3 linked regions of the Kluyveromyces lactis genome follow. The protein of the gene in region 1 interacts with the protein of each later gene in a biochemical or structural test. Links are inferred from orthologs where the notes say so. Each region holds a gene or a part of one and is shown on either strand. Other genes may lie near its edges.

Evidence for each region.
Region 2: the proteins of RSP5 (region 1) and HEM12 form a complex in vitro, tested with the Saccharomyces cerevisiae proteins (2 studies listed by BioGRID, with this or other methods). The link is inferred for Kluyveromyces lactis from reciprocal best matches to the Saccharomyces cerevisiae genes RSP5 and HEM12.
Region 3: of the proteins of RSP5 (region 1) and RPN10, one has a biochemical effect on the other in vitro, tested with the Saccharomyces cerevisiae proteins (4 studies listed by BioGRID). The link is inferred for Kluyveromyces lactis from reciprocal best matches to the Saccharomyces cerevisiae genes RSP5 and RPN10.

The regions. Positions count from the first base shown.
Region 1 is NC_006041.1:1,194,883-1,203,449, reverse strand, and holds RSP5 (NEDD4 family E3 ubiquitin-protein ligase), read right to left. Parts: upstream 5,318-8,567; coding exon 2,858-5,317; downstream 1-2,857. Other genes in the region: MPT5 (Mpt5p), read left to right, coding at 1-1,735; DSE1 (Dse1p), read left to right, coding at 6,264-8,006; casein kinase YCK3, read right to left, coding at 8,548-8,567. UniProt on the Saccharomyces cerevisiae protein: E3 ubiquitin-protein ligase which accepts ubiquitin from an E2 ubiquitin-conjugating enzyme in the form of a thioester and then directly transfers the ubiquitin to targeted substrates.
Region 2 is NC_006042.1:1,085,051-1,090,288, forward strand, and holds HEM12 (uroporphyrinogen decarboxylase HEM12), read left to right. Parts: upstream 1-1,338; coding exon 1,339-2,448; downstream 2,449-5,238. Other genes in the region: PFF1 (Pff1p), read right to left, coding at 1-666; VMS1 (Vms1p), read left to right, coding at 2,752-4,617; DNA-dependent ATPase RDH54, read right to left, coding at 4,649-5,238.
Region 3 is NC_006038.1:354,522-359,186, reverse strand, and holds RPN10 (proteasome regulatory particle base subunit RPN10), read left to right. Parts: upstream 1-1,131; coding exon 1,132-1,875; downstream 1,876-4,665. Other genes in the region: KLLA0_B03927g (uncharacterized protein), read right to left, coding at 401-649; GTPase-activating protein IML1, read left to right, coding at 2,316-4,665. UniProt on the Saccharomyces cerevisiae protein: Multiubiquitin binding protein.

The sequences.
Region 1 (8,567 bases):
CGCAATGATTAAAGATATCTATCCCTCTGTATTCCAAATCTCCATCAATCAATATGGTACCAGATCCTTGCAAAAGATCATTGATACCGTTGAGACCCAAGAACATATAGATATGATCATTAGGGGATTTTCTCAGGAGCATACATCAATTGAACAGGTAGTCACTTTGATTAATGATTTGAACGGTAATCATGTCATTCAGAAATGTATCTTCAAATTCCAACCAGCAAATTTTGATTTTATCATTGACGCCATTGTCAATAACGATAACATCATTACCATCTCAACTCACAAACACGGGTGTTGTGTACTGCAAAAATTGTTGAGTGTTTGTACTCTGCAACAGATTTTCAAGATTTCTGTCAAGATAATTCAGTACTTGCCCTCCTTGATCAACGACCAATTCGGTAACTATATTATCCAGTTCTTGTTCGATATCAAGGAGTTGGATTTCTACCTGTTAGGCGAAACTTTCAACAAATTGTCACAAAAGTTGTGCCAGTTGTCCTGTTTAAAGTTTTCTTCAAACGTTGTTGAGAAATATATAAAGAAGTTGTTTGCCATTGTGATGAATTATGTGTCCAACACAGCAACTACATCTACATCAACAGCGGCTTTGAATCCACATGACAGAGTCGATGATGGGGATGATGTTGTTAACGCTTCCATGGGTATTCTTTTGGTAATTGCTGATATCTTCATGGCTAACATTACTTCTTTGATAAGAGACAACTATGGTAACTACGCATTGCAAACTCTTTTGGACGTCAGAAACTATTCAGCTATTCTAGAACATCCAAGAAATAACATTGTGTACAATAATCCTCGGCTAGCAAGTTTCAGTCATGAGTTCACTGCCAAGATCAGTAACCTCATTGTAATCACCAAGGAGCTGTTGCCAAGTATCAAAAACACATCATACGCGAAGAAGATCAAATTGAAGGTAAGAGCATACACGGAACTTACAGGAATCACATTTGATGATGTAACTCCAACAAAGAAAAAGGTTAATGAACCATTCCGTCAACAAAACAAGCACCATTCTCGCAACTTTTCTCTGCCTTCCAATGCATATCTGAACAACAGGAACAATGGTCCAGGTAACAATAATACCAATAACCATCAATTCCAAAGAAACACTAACTTCCACAATAATATAAACACCGGCGGTGATAATAGCAGCAACCATCACCACAAGAAGAAAAACAGCATTCAACAACAGATGACACTCCCACCTTATCAACAGAATGTTCCGCAGATGCCAATGGCTTCTCAACATGATTATTCAATGCAAACACAACAGCCACCGCCATTTCAACAGTTGCAACCACCGGCACCGGAACATCAACAACCTCATCTTGATCAGTATTTGAACAATCAAAGCATGCAGCAACCATTATTAATGAACTCCAATTTGCATTTCTCCTCAAATAATGTTGCTAACATGCCAGCTCCGATGTACATGGACTCACAATACCCAACACCACAATCAAATAGCTCTATGATGTATGGGTTCCCAACTCCAAGTCAACCAGGGTTGACTTCCAATATGTCCCAATCATCATTTGTATCTTTACCGGGAATTCTCAATGGATCTAATATGGTTCCAATGTCGGATTCACAATCGAATACCCCTCCAAACGGGATGCCCCCACGCTCCTCCTCCAATATAATGCAGCATAACAGAAATGTCAGCTTTCCAATGTTTGGTGACAATTCCACATATTTCAATTAAAGGAGAGGAACCTTGTAAAAACTAGTAAAAGTCGCAACAGCGTAAAACACAATTATAAACTAAAAAAAAAATACCACAGAAGAAAGAAGCGAGAAGGATGCATGCAGTCATCAAATTGTTTAAAACATTTCCGAATTCATGATGAAATATTTGTTACAAGTTTTTGATTCTACCATCAATCTTACTTTTCCTTTAGATTTTTCATTTTTTTTGTCTTTATCTGATGGATAGTCGATTCTATGGAAATACAAAATTTATTTTATACACAGGGGAAATAGGTCACGACTTATGAATGTCATTCTGAATGGTAACAGGTTGTTTTATTAAGCATTTTTAAACTGCACTAAAAAGGAAAAAAAAATAGAATACCAAGGTATTAATTGTGGGATCTTTCGGTGTAGAATCAATCTTTACATTCAATCAAAGATTGTGATTACACTCTCTTCACTTACATACCAGGTCAAAAAAAGGGTCATAGTGAGAGGAAATAGGCCGATTCATGAAAGATCCGTAACAATTAAGCCACAACTTTTAAAAAAAAACTACAACATTAAGCCACCGAAACGTTTATGGGTTAACATCTTTTTTCATTATTATTGCATTCAAATATATTGTTGTCGCTCGTTATTATACAATATACAATAAATTCATTCAATTCACTCATTTAAATTATTTTATTATAAGCTTTACCCTGTCCTCTATCATAATTATCATATATATAATTACAACTTAACCCTTTTCATTTAAGAACCCGGTCTTAATACTATCAACTCCATGCAGCTAATTTTCGTTATTATCCCAAAATTTAAGCTGGATATATCAATCTCTGGGCAATTACAAAACTCCGTCGGTTAGGAACCAGATACTTCGTTGTCAATTGCTTCCCACATTATAGCATACCTATATAAAGTAACACCTGATAATGGCAATAAAATATAACAAAGCACCATAAGTTGAGGCCTAACGAGGTTAAGAAAAAAATTTCTATGTAATAATATACACATGTTTTGGCAACAATATATCTATAACATATATATGTCTGTGCTTGTGTTTGTGCTTGCGCTTTCTGATTGAATAATTGAGAAGGTGCAGGGTATTGAAAAGATTGAAAGATTCATTCAACTACTCTTGTCCAAATCCGATGGTTTCTTCCACTGCTAATGTTAGCTTCTGCTTGAAAGATTCATAATCAGTGTATGGTGGAAGATCCACTCTGTTGAAACAAGTGTGTGACTTGGGTAGTTGTTGAACTTCACCTGCTTTTTCGATAGTGAATCTTCTTGGACCATCAGAACCTTGCAAATCTTTGAATCCATTGACCGGGATACGCGATGTACCAGTTGTGAATTGTAACAAACGTGCTCTTTGCTCGTTGTCCCATTCAGTGATACATTTCCAGAACCACTGGATAACTTCGTCAGACTCTTGGTATCCACGATAATCTGTGTGTTTTTTCCAGTCTTCAACATCAATTTCTGCAATACCACCAATCAATAATTCAAGTTCACGTTCATCAAACACGTTGACTAGATCTTCAGGAACCAATTCGTTAAATCCATCCATAAATGCCTTAAATTGTTCTTGAACTCTGTCTGCGATCCTCCATTGGGTATATAGTTCAACATATTCTTTCTTGTTTTCATCTGTGACTTCGATTTCTCTGCCGTTTGGTTTCAAATCGACGACAACCAGTTCACCAAATCTTTCATCATCAACATTAAATGTTAGATCTAAAATGCCATCTATGCTATTTTCTAAAATCCATTTCAAGGAGTTGTAGACTTCTGAATCGACACCTTCCATATCTTGTAATACTACCTTCTTTCTTAGCATCATCTTATATAGAGCACCAACGAAGAATGCATCCAAGAACCTTCTATGGAATACACCTAAACCGACGACTCTACCAATGAACTTGAAGTAGTTCAAATGCTCAGGGTTGATACCACTGTTTGGATTGATTTGGATAGTATAGTTATCATGGGCAGAATATTCAAATAGACAGTAGAAGGGATTAAACATCTCGTGTGATAGTAAAAAGAAGAATTCTCTTGAAACACCACCATAATCTAAACCTTCTTCACCGTCAAATTTGATCATTAGTCTCTTCTTTAAGTCTTCTGGCGTTTGTCTCATTATTTCTTGGTAAGAATCTTCGAAGATATTCTTTCTGCGTACTCTGATGTGACATTGACCTGGTAGAATTCTTAAAGCCGGTTGGGATCTGAAGTAAATAACCTTACGTCTGAAGTCACGCTTATACTGTGGAACGTTTTGATCCAAGGAAGAAGGTAATCTAGGATCATCCCAAGTGGTGGTCTTAGTGTTATGGTCAACGAAGTATACACGGGCTGTGTTTGTCAATCTCATCTCCCAACCAGAAGGCAAAGGTCCTAACTGAGATACAGGTTGTTGTTGTATGGTATTTGTGGAAGGCCCATAGGTTCTAATATATTGTTGTCTTCTTGGATCGACCCATGTCGTGGTTCTTGTGTTGTGATCAACGAAGTACGCTCTTCCTTCAGGAGTGAACCGTTGTTCCCAACCTGGTGGAAGTTCACCCAACCCCGATGTGGTACCCCCAGTGGCAGCAAAAGTAGCAGCTGCTGAACCGTTTACGGCAGGAGTTTGAGATCCAGTACCGGTATGAACAGCAACGTTTGATGAAGACGAGCCCTCTGATTGAGCACCACCATCAGGTAAAGTTCTTCCTCTGTGTTGTCTACGTTCTAGTTCGGTGTTGACACGTTGAACCTCGGATTGATCCAAAGTGGGTCTTTTCCATGTTGTTGTCCTTGTATTATGATCCACATAATATGTTCTTCCAAAGTTATCCGTTCTTCTTTCCCATCCTGGGGGTAAACGACCATATTGATCTTCAAACGATGAGTATTGCCTGCTAGCTGACGATTGAGATTGAGCTGTCGAAGGTTGACCGGATGGAGCAGCATCACTTGAACCGGCACCTGAACCTGAACTGGCGGTACCTGCAGCATTCGCAGAATCCTGGTTGTCTAATGTAGTAGTTTGCAAGTTGTTAGCAACAGTCTGAGCAATCAATCTGTTGTCGATAGTGGAAGCGTTCGTCATCGAATCCGATTGACGAGCTGCTCCGGAACCAGCAACAGCACTACCTGCGGCACCAGCAGCTCCATTACGGCTGCCAGCTCTGGGGAGAACCGTCAAAACCAATATTATTCTACCACTTACTGACAACCCGTCGTTAGAACGTTTTAAATCTCTAGTAATAGTCTCTTCACGAGCTCTACCGTTCGAAGTGGCAGTATCTTCGTCCAAGTGACCCAGAATGTCACCAATACGAACGTTGACAACACCTAGGAACCCTTGATCTTTCTTCTTGAACTTTTTCTGATCAAACACTTGAACAGTTAAGATCGAATTTTCACTCACATTTTTGAATTGAAATACTTCATTCCAGTAGGGATTCAACGTCTTCTTTGCAGCCGCTGTGGATTTCGTCTGAGAACCATCGATAGTCAAAACTGCAAACGGATCAGGAGATCTAAACACATCCCTCCTGTTCAATGACTCAGCAGCCACTAGTTTCACAGAGATAGACATATTTCGCAGCTTTTTATTTTTTTAATGGTTTGTCAATTTCAAATCCGATAATTTCTCCTTCAAAGTGGAATCTCAATAACAAATTGAAAAGTCTTCAAACACTAGATATCTGATAAGTGGTAGTAACAGCAATAATTATTAAACAAATAAAACCGCCCGAGAAAGCCTATAAGGTTTTATTTTTTGTCTTTTGTCTTCTTTAATTGTCGTAATTGCAAAGAAACAGAACAGGAAACAGAACCAGAAAAAAAGTTGATGATTCCTCTAAAAAGAAGCAAAGAAAAATCAGATCAATACCTTGCTCAATACCCTTTTCCGTACCGTCCTTTTTGCCACTGTCAATGCACGTTTGCTTATCCTCTAGCACCTTGATCTGATGATTAAATCGGATGTTGTTTGCAAGTAAAGTATCTTTGTTCTTGTTTTGTTTCCTTAATTAAAATATGCAAATCACAATTTTCTTTTCTCCTTTACTTGTCACGTGAGGAGATTGAAACCTGGAAAAAGAGTACTAAAGAGGGATACCAGGCTACGCCGAGTATGTCAGTAAATTCGGAAACGGCATTAATGGCGGTGGTAGCCACCAGGTTGCAAGAATCTGCCGTATTGCTGTCAGATGACGTGCATATGGGACGATTATGGGCATCACGTGACAAAAATCATATCGTCCAAAATGACATAAATATAAACAAGCCTTTGCCAGCTTTAAAGATGCTGGGTTTGTTTACAGGTAAACAAACCTCTTGCAAACATAAACAGGATGTTTGCTCATATGGCTGCCTAACACACTCAATAGGTAACGTGCCTTTCTCTAATTTTTGTTGCTTGTTCTGCGTTTGGTCCTATTTTTGATTGGCTCAGTGTTTGCTAGTGCTATTTTTATTTGCCCTGTATCATATATAAACATGTCGTTTCTAAAAGTGACCAGCTCTTACTCCTCTAATGGATGTACCTGTTAACAATCAATTATTCTCTGCAGTGCAAACATTACACAAAGTCAAATAAGAAACTGTATATTGCGAAAATTATGACTGAATTCTACAGGGCTCCAGAGATATTCAGACAGAACGCCATCATCGTCAAGAAGAGTAGAAGAGATATTAGCGATGACGAGAACAGTACTATTGTCAGGCGGAATTGCAAGATAGAGGCTTCGAAATTGAACAGTTCCTTGCTAAGGAAGGTTAGTGGTGATTTGAACGATGTCATTGTCACGAAAAAATTGAAGACAGATTGTTGGAAACTGTCAGAAGACACTAGGGACGTCACTTCAATGTCATTGGATAGGGACACCATTCTACTTTCCACATCACAGACATCGGATAATTTACAGTTGTTCCAATTGCGGAATAATGAAATTAATGAGCAGGCTCGCGGTGGGAAATTGCTCCATAGTTTACAAACCATTACTGTTCCAGGAAAATCTATTCTGGCTACAGATATCATGCAATCGCAGAATAATGACACCGTAGTTTCCTTCGATGATAAAGTCCATGACAGAATCTTACTTTCAGGACACTCTGATGGATATGTGAACTTAATTGCAACTTCAATCGAGAATGGGAACGCCAAAATTCTAAGACGTTTCAATCATTCCAAACATTTGAAAGTGATCACCGATAGCATGGATAGTGTTGATCTTGCTACGCAAATTTATAACACAAGTCGTTCAAAACCAATTCGTCATTTGAAGACCTGGAACAAGCATCATTTCACCTCTGTCATTAACGATTCGTTGTTTGTCTATGACGTGAACCAACAGTGCAAAGACCCATTATACTTGAACAGTTTCCCCGGTTTGGAACACGTTGATGTTAACCCAGTCAATCCATTCACATTTTCTCTGACAGGAACGAAATTTGGGCAGTCCGGAATTGCATTGTTGGATCTTCGTTTGGGTGATGGTAACGGAATACGTGTCCCTGGACCTCAGGACAGCAATGCCGAGTCTGGCAAATGTTATACTTCCAAATGGTTAGATGAATATACGGTCGTTAATTCGGTCGGAAAGGCATTGAAGATATGGGATATCAGATATGGGAAGGTTAGAGCACACCTGTTGGGTCATAACGGACATGTCAACAGTCTCGATTACGATAATGAAATGAAGAAAATATATAGTACAGACGATCAAGGCTTAATAATGTCCTGGGATATCAAAGATTTGAAATTCACCGACCAAGTAATGTGTTGCAGACCATCTCATGGTATCCAGAGCTTTGGATTACCAGCGGACTGTGTGCAAAACGGTAACATTATTCAATCTCCAGATCTGGAAAGAATCGGAAACAAGAAACATCTAGGGAGTCATTTCGTCGGCTTAGCAGACTCTCATTTCATATCCTTGCAAGATCAAGAGCTAAGATCGTACTCGGTTGTTGACATGCCAATGGTTTTACCTCCACCAAGGAACCCATTACGTCTACTCGAATCCGTGTCGACCGAAACGAAATCAGAACCTCCAGCTACTATGGTCTACTCCAGTTCAGATGAAACAACCAAGGATAGTAGCAATTCTGCGTTTGAAGATTCTGAGGATACTCTGGAATACGAAGCCCATTCTCCAATGACGCCTGCACTAGATAGCATGTTTGACGGTAAAACCCATTCATTCGATATACCCACAATCCCTCTTCTGTCTGGCATTAGAAGAGGCAGCGATGCCACATTTGTATGCGAAGGCTTATGATACCCGTTCACCTCCCTCAATCACCTTCTGCAATTCATTGAAACCTGTTACCCATGTGGAAATTATATTGCATTGCATTCACTTCAAATTTAACTTACTATCAGCTAATAAATAATTCAATGATTAAATATACTCTTCAAGTGCTTAATTCGTTATTTAAGTTCCTTGAAACTAAATTACAATTTATATTAAAGTAAAGTAAAATATTATGAATATGTATTTCTATTTACATATCTGGATGTTCATGTAATTTGTCAGTTCTCCTCAGCTAAAGCAAGGGTGTAAGTTTGTCTAATAAATGCGAACCGAGCGAGAAAGATCATGGGAATGGGAGAGACACAAAGATATGAAAGGTTCCTTCTTGCCTTGGAAAAAAAATTATAAAAGCAAAACGCTCAGCGTTAAATGTATCCGTGTGTGCCTGTTATTGGAGAACCCAGACGATCAACGCCTTTTCAGCTCTTACAACAGGACAACAAATAGGTAAGGAGGGTTAAATTAACTTATAATACATCTTCTCGTCATGGGCCTAAAAAATGGGCTAGCAAATTCCACAGCACA
Region 2 (5,238 bases), on another chromosome or scaffold:
TTCTAGATTAATAACATATGATACAAGTTTGAACCACTCACTATAAGTGAATATGGTGGCTCCCAATAACCCAAATTCTTCATTATTGTTGAAGTTGAAAACGATGGTTCTTTCTGGTTGGTTTTCCGAGTAATACTGAAGTAACGCAAGAAGTGATACCACACCTTTCCCATCATCTGTGGCACCATATCCAGTTGGCACCGAGTCAAAATGGGCGGATAGTAGAAGGCCAGGTAACTGTGGTGACTTTCCTTCCACTTTAACCAAAATGTTCGAGGACTCGTAGTAAACCAGCCTGGTTTCGGTAGATGAATCGTTGAAAACGTCCAAATGTTGAAAGAGTTTAGAGACACCATTAGCAGAATCATCAGATACCTCAATAAACTTTGACTTTTTCGATATCTGCTCGACTCTTTGCAACAAATAGTCATGTACATTATCATTGAAATGAGAAGTGTAAGGATGAGGTTTCTCGGTAATGACTTGTAAATCATGCCAAGCTGCATCTAACAATGAATTTGATGACTTATCATCTGGTAAGTTTGACTTATATTTATTAGCATCGAACCATGTCAGTATACTAATAACCAAAACAGTAAGCACAAACAAGGTGCTAACGGTGGTCTTCCTAAACTTGAAAGTAGACCGAAAATAATTGGCCATCATTATAGTTGGACCAGGGAAAGAAAGAGCAGCCCTGAACGATCACCCGCTAATTTCTAAGAAATTGTAGGTGCTTGTCAAACACTTATTAATAAAACGAATGGAATAATACCTCTCTTTATCAGTTCTATTGATTTATTGTGACTGAAAACCCTTAAGTCTGTTTTGGTTTTAATTGTACATATTTCGATTATACTCATCTTCTCGAATGATAACTAGATAAAGAAAACGTACATATACACAGAGAAAAGGGCATTGACGAAGCTTTGCAGCCTTTAAAAGTCTCCAATAACAGAGTATTCATTAATCATAGGTATGTGCGTCTTCTACTCTTGTCTATCCTGTAGCTCATCCTTATTCCTTCTCGAGCATGTATTGGCGTCTTATTTGAAGAACTCACGTGCCGAGAAAGAAATTATGTTACCCTGAAAATAGATACTGGAGAGGAAAACATCAAACCCGTGCATGGTGATAACAGATGTGCCATGCAAATTTCCTCGAGACCTTTTGGGGACAATAGTTCATGCATATACGACCTGCATGGACGTTCTTAATAACAACGATTATCTGTACCATTGAAATTTGCTCTTCTACATTCAGGTCTTAGTAGTTTTCTTTTCGGTTAAGAGTGCAGGTTTACTGAAAAGTGAAACCATACAAAGACTCGTCGTCAAGATGCAAGTACAGAATGTTGATCGCTCCAAGTTCGCTCCAATGAAGAATGATTTGATGCTCAGAGCAGCTTTAGGTGAGAAGGTTGAAAGACCACCATGTTGGATTATGAGACAGGCTGGACGTTATTTACCAGAATACCATGAGGTGAAGAATGGTCGTGACTTTTTCGAGACATGTCGTGATGCAGAAATTGCTTCAGAAATTACTATTCAGCCCGTGAGACGTTACGCCGGTTTATTGGATGCAGCTATTATCTTCAGTGATATTCTTGTGATCCCTCAGGCCATGGGTATGAAAGTTGAGATGGTTGAGGGGAAAGGCCCTCATTTCCCGGAACCGTTGAGAACTGAAGAGCAACTACAAAAGGTATTGGATTATAAGGTCAACGTTTTAGACGAACTAGAATGGGCCTTTAAAGCTATCACTATGACTCGTACTAAATTGGACGGCCAAGTGCCTTTGTTAGGTTTCTGTGGTGCTCCATGGACGTTATTGGTTTATATGACCGAGGGTGGTGGATCGCGTTTATTCAGATTCGCTAAGCAATGGTTAAACGAATCGCCAGAATCATCGCATAAATTATTACAGAAGATTACTGACGTTGCGGTCGAATTCTTGTGCCAACAGGTAGTTGCTGGTTGTCAGATGCTTCAAGTGTTTGAAAGTTGGGGTGGCGAGTTAGGCTCTCGTGATTTCGACGAGTTCTCTTTACCGTACCTAAAGCAAATTGCGGAAAGAGTTCCACCAAGGTTAAAGCAGCTGGGTATCGAAGAACGTGTTCCAATGGTAGTATTCGCCAAGGGATCATGGTACGCACTAGACAAACTATGTGACAGTGGCTATAATGCAGTTTCTTTAGATTGGTCATGGGACCCTGCAGAGGCAGTAAAGATCAACAGTGACCGTGTTACCTTACAGGGTAATTTGGACCCTGGTGTAATTTACGGTTCGGATGAGATTATTACCAAGAGAGTCACTGAAATGGTTCATGGTTTCGGCGGAGGTAAGCAACATTACATTGTAAACTTTGGACATGGTACCCATCCATTCATGGATCCAGAGAAGATCAAATTCTTTTTGCAGGAATGTCACAGAGTCGGTAGTCAATAAATCTATCAAAAATCGGAAATAGACTACTACCTTTCTGCATCCAATTTATTTCATGTATATACCATTTCATTCTGTTTAATACATACTGATGTCAGTAAATCCATTTTTTTACCCTGCTTAGTTGATCAAGTCTGGTCATGTATGGTTTTTTACTTCAATGTACTTTATTTATAGTGAAACCTTGATATTTCAAAGTTTGTTACTTCAATAAATCTTCTTCATTCATGAAAACTTGCCATCACACAGTGAAACGTTTTAAAAGAGGTGTTAAAGAGCTCAAAGAAGTGTGGATTCCCTGAACTGATGTCCGACAGAATACAAAAGAATGACTTGTACGTCTATGATTTGTCTGATGAGATCCTTTCTTCTTTGCAGTTGATATCTTTCGACTCTGATATGAATGAGGTTAAAGTGGTCCATTCTGATGTAGAAATCGAAAACAAAAAGGAAATTGAGGTTAAAACAGTACCTTCATGTGCTTCATGTGGTATTAATGCATTTCCTAATGATAATTCTGATCCTCGATATCATTTTAAAACTGATTTACACAAATTCAACATAAAAAGAAGAGTTTACGGTTTATCTCCAGTCGATGAGCAAGAGTTTAGGCAGTTGATTAAAAGTAAAGAAACAGCCACTGCAGAAGATTCTGACAGTGATTCTTTATCTGGTGAGGATGATGAGACAGATGAAATAGAAGAAGATGATATTTCTACAAGAGGAGGAGAGCAGTTGACAGCAATTCTCGAGCATGAACTCCAGGATTTGATGATCAATGACAACCAAACGGGACCCGTTTCTCATTTAAACACACAATCTCCTTTAATATTCATGCATTCTGCTGAATTATCGGGACCAAGAATTTTCGGGGCTTATAAAGTACTATTTAATGCAGAGGAATTGAAATGCCCATTGAAATCAATTCATCATTGGAAAAATCAGGATAAAACCGAGCATTTCTCTGTGTTGTTCATGATTGGCGGCGGTCATTTTGCAGGAGCAGTGGTATCGCATCAAAAGATACCAACTAATGGTAATAACAAAAATAAATATATCCTATCTCTACAAGAGCAGTCAGTACAGTTTTTGGAACAGAAAACGTTCCATCGATACACTACCAGAAGAAAGCAAGGTGGCTCCCAATCAGCAAATGACAATGCCAAGGGAAAGGCAAATTCCGCTGGTTCAACTCTACGTAGATATAATGAAGCAGCGTTGAAAGCAGACATACAAGCATTGTTAAAGGATTGGGAACCCTACATTGCAAAGTGTGACAATATTTTCATTAGAGCCAATAGTGTCACAGATAGAAAGATCTTCTTAGATAATACTTGCATCTCTAAAACTGATGTCAAACTAAAGTCTTTCCCATTCACTACGATGCGCCCATCCTCAAATGAACTAAGGCGTGCCTGGGTTCAATTGACGTATTTATCGATAACGGACAAACCTCAACCAAAAGTCAAAAAATTGCAAACTGATCATTCAAAGAACAAACCTAGGAAACTTACAAATTCTCCAACACCAGTGCCTCTGAAGACAGAAGATGAACAACATACCGAAAAGCTAATCTCATTTATTCAAAAGAGTAAGGCGCCGCTGTTAATATCGTATATCAAGAAAAACAATCTTGATGTCAATATTACTTTGCAACCCTCTTCTGAATATCATCACACACCAACAATGCTACATTATGCATCATCTCACGGCTTGAAACACATGGTATTGGTGTTGTTGTCCACTTTAAAAGCAGATCCTACAATTACTAACAATGTTGGAAAAACAGCGTGGGATCTGGCGAGTGACACCATGGTCAAGGAAACCTTCCAGTTGGCGCGTTATAATTTAGGAGAAAGCTTCACGGATTGGGAGCAAAGTCATGTTAGTGGAGCATTATCGGCTGAACAGATAGATGAAAGGCACAAGAAGATAGCACTCGAAGAAGAGAAAGAAAAGAAAGACTTGATAGAAAAAGAATTGCAGGCGGCAAAGGAAAGAATCAAAGAGGAAAAAGATGCTAAAAGAGGTCCCGGAATGAAACTTGGCGCCGCATCCTCTAACGTTCAAATAAATTTGAACTCTTTAACTGATGATCAACGGATGAGATTGATGAGAGAGCAGCGAGCTCGTGCAGCTGAAGCGAGAATGAAAAGATTTTCTGGTAACTAGATGCAAGTATAAATAGTAACATATATAACTTTTACACGGAGTCTTTTACCAAAGCATAAGTGATGTACTGTCGTGCATCATCAAAGACGTTATTCATAGCTTCGTCAATTAAGTCATTAGTCTTTTGTGGATCAATATGTTTGTATCCCAATAGGCATTTTCTCATGATTTCTGACTTTGTTCCATTTCGAAGTATCTCCTCCTTCTCTATAATTTTTTGGGCTTCTAGAGCATTGATCCAAATTGAAGCAGGAGGATTGTTTGATGGAGTCGCAGCAGCCTGGTATTCTGGCTGGGCGTTGGCTTCATCAGTACCCGTTATCTCTTCTTCTTCAAGCACTTCTACTTCACCAGAACAATTACAAATTAAGTCGTGGGTATTGGATAAAGTGGACAAATTAATGGTAAACAAGTCCTTCAACTCTTCCTGCTGAAAAAGATCATCATCATTTTTTGATTGATCTGTGGCACTGTCCAAGAACTTTTTAGAAAGCGCTATTTTCATTAACTGTCTTTGAAGTATCTTCTCATCAATACATCCGGTTGTCACAAGTCTATAAATGAAACATGGCCTTCTCTGACCATCGCGATGAATTCTTGACATGGCCTGTAAATCAATGG
Region 3 (4,665 bases), on another chromosome or scaffold:
GAACCATTGGTCCAAACTGTGTATGCGAGAATGAGTAAGACTGAATGCTAGCGAGGACGCTAAGGGAAGTTCTTTTTTTTTTTCCGGAATATCAGATGTTTACCTGCTGACTGGTAAGATAACAGTGGATTACTCTTTCACAACAAAAAAAAAAAAAAAAAGAAAACCGTGGTGTTTGTGTATGGTAAGACTTCTTGACCAACAAAAAAACATCACGTGGGAAATCATTACACGTGACTATTAATCACCCGGAGCACTAATTGGATTTCTCGCCCACTTTAATATCACCACAGAATTGGGGGGAAACAGTCTTTCGATCTTAGGCATGGTCACGTGGGAGTTCGTTCTGAAGTCCCCGGCATCCGTTCTTCGATTTGGTTAAACGATTTTAAATGCACTTCTAAACATCACCAGCCCTTTCACGGTCCAGGGTTTCCTGGATAGTTCCATCCCTCAATTTAGCCTTCTCTTTCCACGTAGAAATCACAGATTCCAGCATCTCTTTGGTGTTACCTTTCACTCTCTCTATCTCATTCAGGGCCTCTTGCAGTTTCTCTTCCTGGCGAGTTATTAACGCACTTCGAATCTTCTCTCGTTGCTTTTCAGTAATATGCTGCCCGTTTTTGGAACCATCTTCGCCGGTACTCATCACTGTTTCTCTATTAGTCACTTCGGCGGATAAAATCTCAAGTGCTTGATCTTCATTATTTCACCTGTTTGTTTACTTATATAAAGATCCGAAACCTTAACTTTTGGTTTTGACAGAGAGTTTGCGAAGTTTCTGCCATAATACGGAGAACGACAGAAGGCCCTGCAGATTGATCTGCGTGAAGGGGAAGAAAAAGAGAGATTGGATTTTTATTACCCGGATTTATTAATCTAGTGGGTAATTTGGTTCAAAGTAAAGTTAGGTTAATATTTAATATAGAGAAAAGAAGTAGTTCCTAGCTACAGTTGCCACCAGGGAAAAGAAGGTTAACTAATGGATAATTAAGTTGCTGAACCCATTCTATATCAATTAAGATTGCGTACCGCTATTCTATTTTAAAGCGAGATAATTTTTTGTAGTCTTTGATTGAATTATTCTCTTATTTGGAATCATTTTAGAACAGATATATTAAGGAAAGAGAGATGGTTTTAGAAGCTACTGTATTGGTTGTTGATAACTCGGAATATGCCAGGAACGGTGACTTTCCAAGAACTCGATTTGTGGCACAAGTTGATGCCGTTGAGTATATTTTCCAGGCGAAAAGAAACAGTAATCCAGAGAACACTATAGGGTTGGTATCTGCTGCCGAGGCAAACCCAAAAGTTTTATCCACATTCACAAACGAATTCGGTAAGATCTTGAGCGGACTACATGATATCAATATTGGAGGGTCCATCCATTTTGCCACTGCCATACAGATTGCTGCATTGACTTTGAAACATAGACAAAATAGAGTACAGCGTCAAAGGATTATTATATTCGTTTGTAGTCCAATCACTGAGGATAGACAGGATTTGATTAAGATGGCAAAGAAGTTGAAGAAAAATAGCATTGCGGTTGATGTTATCAATTTCGGTGAAACTGATACGAACGCTGACCTATTGGAGGAATTCGTAGAAACGGTCAACAGTGGGCAAGAGGATAGTAAATCTACTCTTTTGAACATTGATGCAGGCCCCAAACTACTCTACGAGCATGTAGCAGCATCGCCTATTGTACTTGAAGGTCCTGCTGCTGAGGCTGGCTTCTCAATGGGAGGTAATGACGATTTTATGGACTTTGGTGTTGATCCATCCCTAGATCCTGAATTGGCAATGGCATTGCGCTTATCTATGCAAGAAGAACAGGAAAGACAGGAACGCATAAGACAAAACTCGACAGAGTAAGTCATTCCTTTAAACTTCCGCATTCTTAACAACCTCCGTCTCATATAGGTATCTATTCTGTATACTAATGACCCAGTAAATCGTCATAACATGGCCCTTTAACAACTCAACTTCTTAATATTGTACCCTCTCCCAATATCGAGAAAGCCAACTTCAGTTCATGGTTTACTGCAAGTTCTCATGGTATTAACTATTAAGCTTCGAACATGTCCATGTATGAACATTGTCCTATTCACGTGATATATATTTTGTACCCTTTCAACAATAATCTACGAAAAAACCAATAATTTGAAAAATATCAAGATGCAGACAAGACAAAACACATATGGATGAAGAAAACTCATCCACTCAACCTCATTGTACTTTTTTTCTCCAGTTTGCATTGTAGAAGCAGTGAAATTGATCAATTGTCAAGGATCCCTAGTCGTCTTCCTTAAGACATGCCTCCCGGGGAACTTATATTTTCTAACCTAAGGTCAGGATCAAGGCCTGTTCCAAGGGACAGGGATGCCCTGTCATCAGTGCAAAGCGATGCCATCAGCACCAAATCTTCTGCAAGGTATAACTTTCAAGGTACCGGTTCATCTGATGCAACTTCTGGTACGAATGTTACAATTAGAAATAATACTTTGAGTATCGGCGTCAGCTCTCAAATGCAAGGATCTGCGTTCAACGGCCCTCGGATGCAGTTATCGACCAATGGTTTGAAAAATACTCAATCTAAAGCCCTGCAGGCGCAATCACAAGATGGTTGTCAGGATAGTAAGAATATTGCGGATAATGATAGTGACGCAGAAGCGAGAACAGCTAAAAGATCCCTCGAGTTGGAACTTGCTTTTCATGAAGCAAGGTTTTCGAATGAACAAGTTATGGTTGACATATCATCCATTAAGGGTGCCAAAGAAGGTGATCTGGCTGAACTAAAAACTTACAGAACTTCTCCCGGATCCAAAGATAAAAAGTTATATTTCATAGTGAAAGATTTTGATACAGAAACAAGAAGGAGATTGAAGAGTTTCCAAATTTCAGTTTTATCTGGGCAACTACAACAAGTTTTGGACCTACCAATACGATCTAAAGTGTGGGTAAAGTTAAAAGAGAAGAAGCAGCTTGCTGTTGATTTGGTGGAGCTTCATGTTAAAGATAGTTACGTTAACAGAGGCGATATGTGGAAATTTTCTACTCAGCTCCATGATTCGTGTGTCTTTTTAGGGCAACGAGTTGGTTTGATTGAAACGGTAAGGGCAACGGTTAAAGGGATATACATAAATGGAAAGAAGATATTTTCTGGGTATATCGATGAAAATACTAAAATCGTGTTCCGATCTGAATCAGCAAAACTACTGTTCATGATTCAAATAACAGACGAGATGTGGCATTTTGAGGAGAATGGAGAGGAGACTTTCCATAAAGTGGTTAACTCTCTTTTTCCAAAAATATTCCGAAAGTGGAAAAATATAGGCACACATCATTCCATTTCCATAATGTTTTGTGCTTCAATTGACAGATCGGATTCATCATTCAATGATGTCACATCCGGAGAGAGGCTCAAGAACACTGACGATTATTATCGAGCAGTTGTTGACCAGGTTAATATAGTACACTGGGTTGAAATCATGAAAACACTTAGGAAAGAGTTTATAAGAATTGCACAGGATCTCAGAAATGTCAAGCTAAATGAAAACGTTAGTGTGATAAAAGGGTCTCTTCCTTCTGTCATAAAGTCTAATTTGTTGGAGACAATTAATCTGGCAACTACTTTGGTGACCGATCCCTTCAAACAAAATGATCTACGGCACACGACTACACATGCCATCATCGTTACTGCTGGTTCAGGTTTATACGATGTTGACTATGATCTACTAAAAATTACCACTCAAAAATTAATGTCTCTAGAGATTACAATGGACCTCATTTGTCTATCACGTCCACCGCTTCATATAGTTCCGTTGTTACGTTATAGAGACTACAAAGACCAATTACATTATTGCACGCCAACCTGGTTAAGTATATCCTTCTGGAATGATTCTTCCAGAGCTAATGTTGAATGGCGACCCAGATGTAAAATATACAACGTTTTAATGATGGGATTAACTGAAACTGAACTAAAAGAGGAAATTGCCTTACAATCCATAAAAATAAACGACAAATGCAACTCTGTATCAGATTTTATGGAATCTTACGATTCTGCTGCTTTCGAAGTTCAGAGTGGCCCTTACTCAATGCATATGGATGCTGCTCTTGCTGCGGAGTTCCGCTCTTCTAAAGAGAGTAAGAATGATTGGAATAGACGTACAGTATCGAAGTCCAAGGGGAATACTAACCACATTGATACTATCACATGGATGAAACCAAAATCCACTAATGCTGTCCTTCAACCAGCTTTCAAAGAGAAGGTGTTCGCTCAGCTATCTTCATCTCCGAACTCTAATTTACCACGAACTGAATTTGAATACAAGAACCAAATGACGGCGACGAATTCTTTGGCATTAAATACTTTAAAAAGATTAAGTCATGCAAATTCCGGTGTGACACAGAAGATAATCTCTAAACTATTCCCAGATTTGGCGATTAAAAAGAGTCAATCGTCCCTCCGCCAAAAAGCTAATATACAACCTACTGATTTGACTGGTTCTTCATCATCTTTGAGTGATACAGGATCTCAGTATAAAAGGTCCCCAAATCCAAAGCTTTTGCACAAGCAGAAACAATTGTTCGATGATAACAAAAAAGAAGCTTCATGCGGAACATCTATACTGAGTTCACAGTCTTCTGGTAACCAAAGAGTAC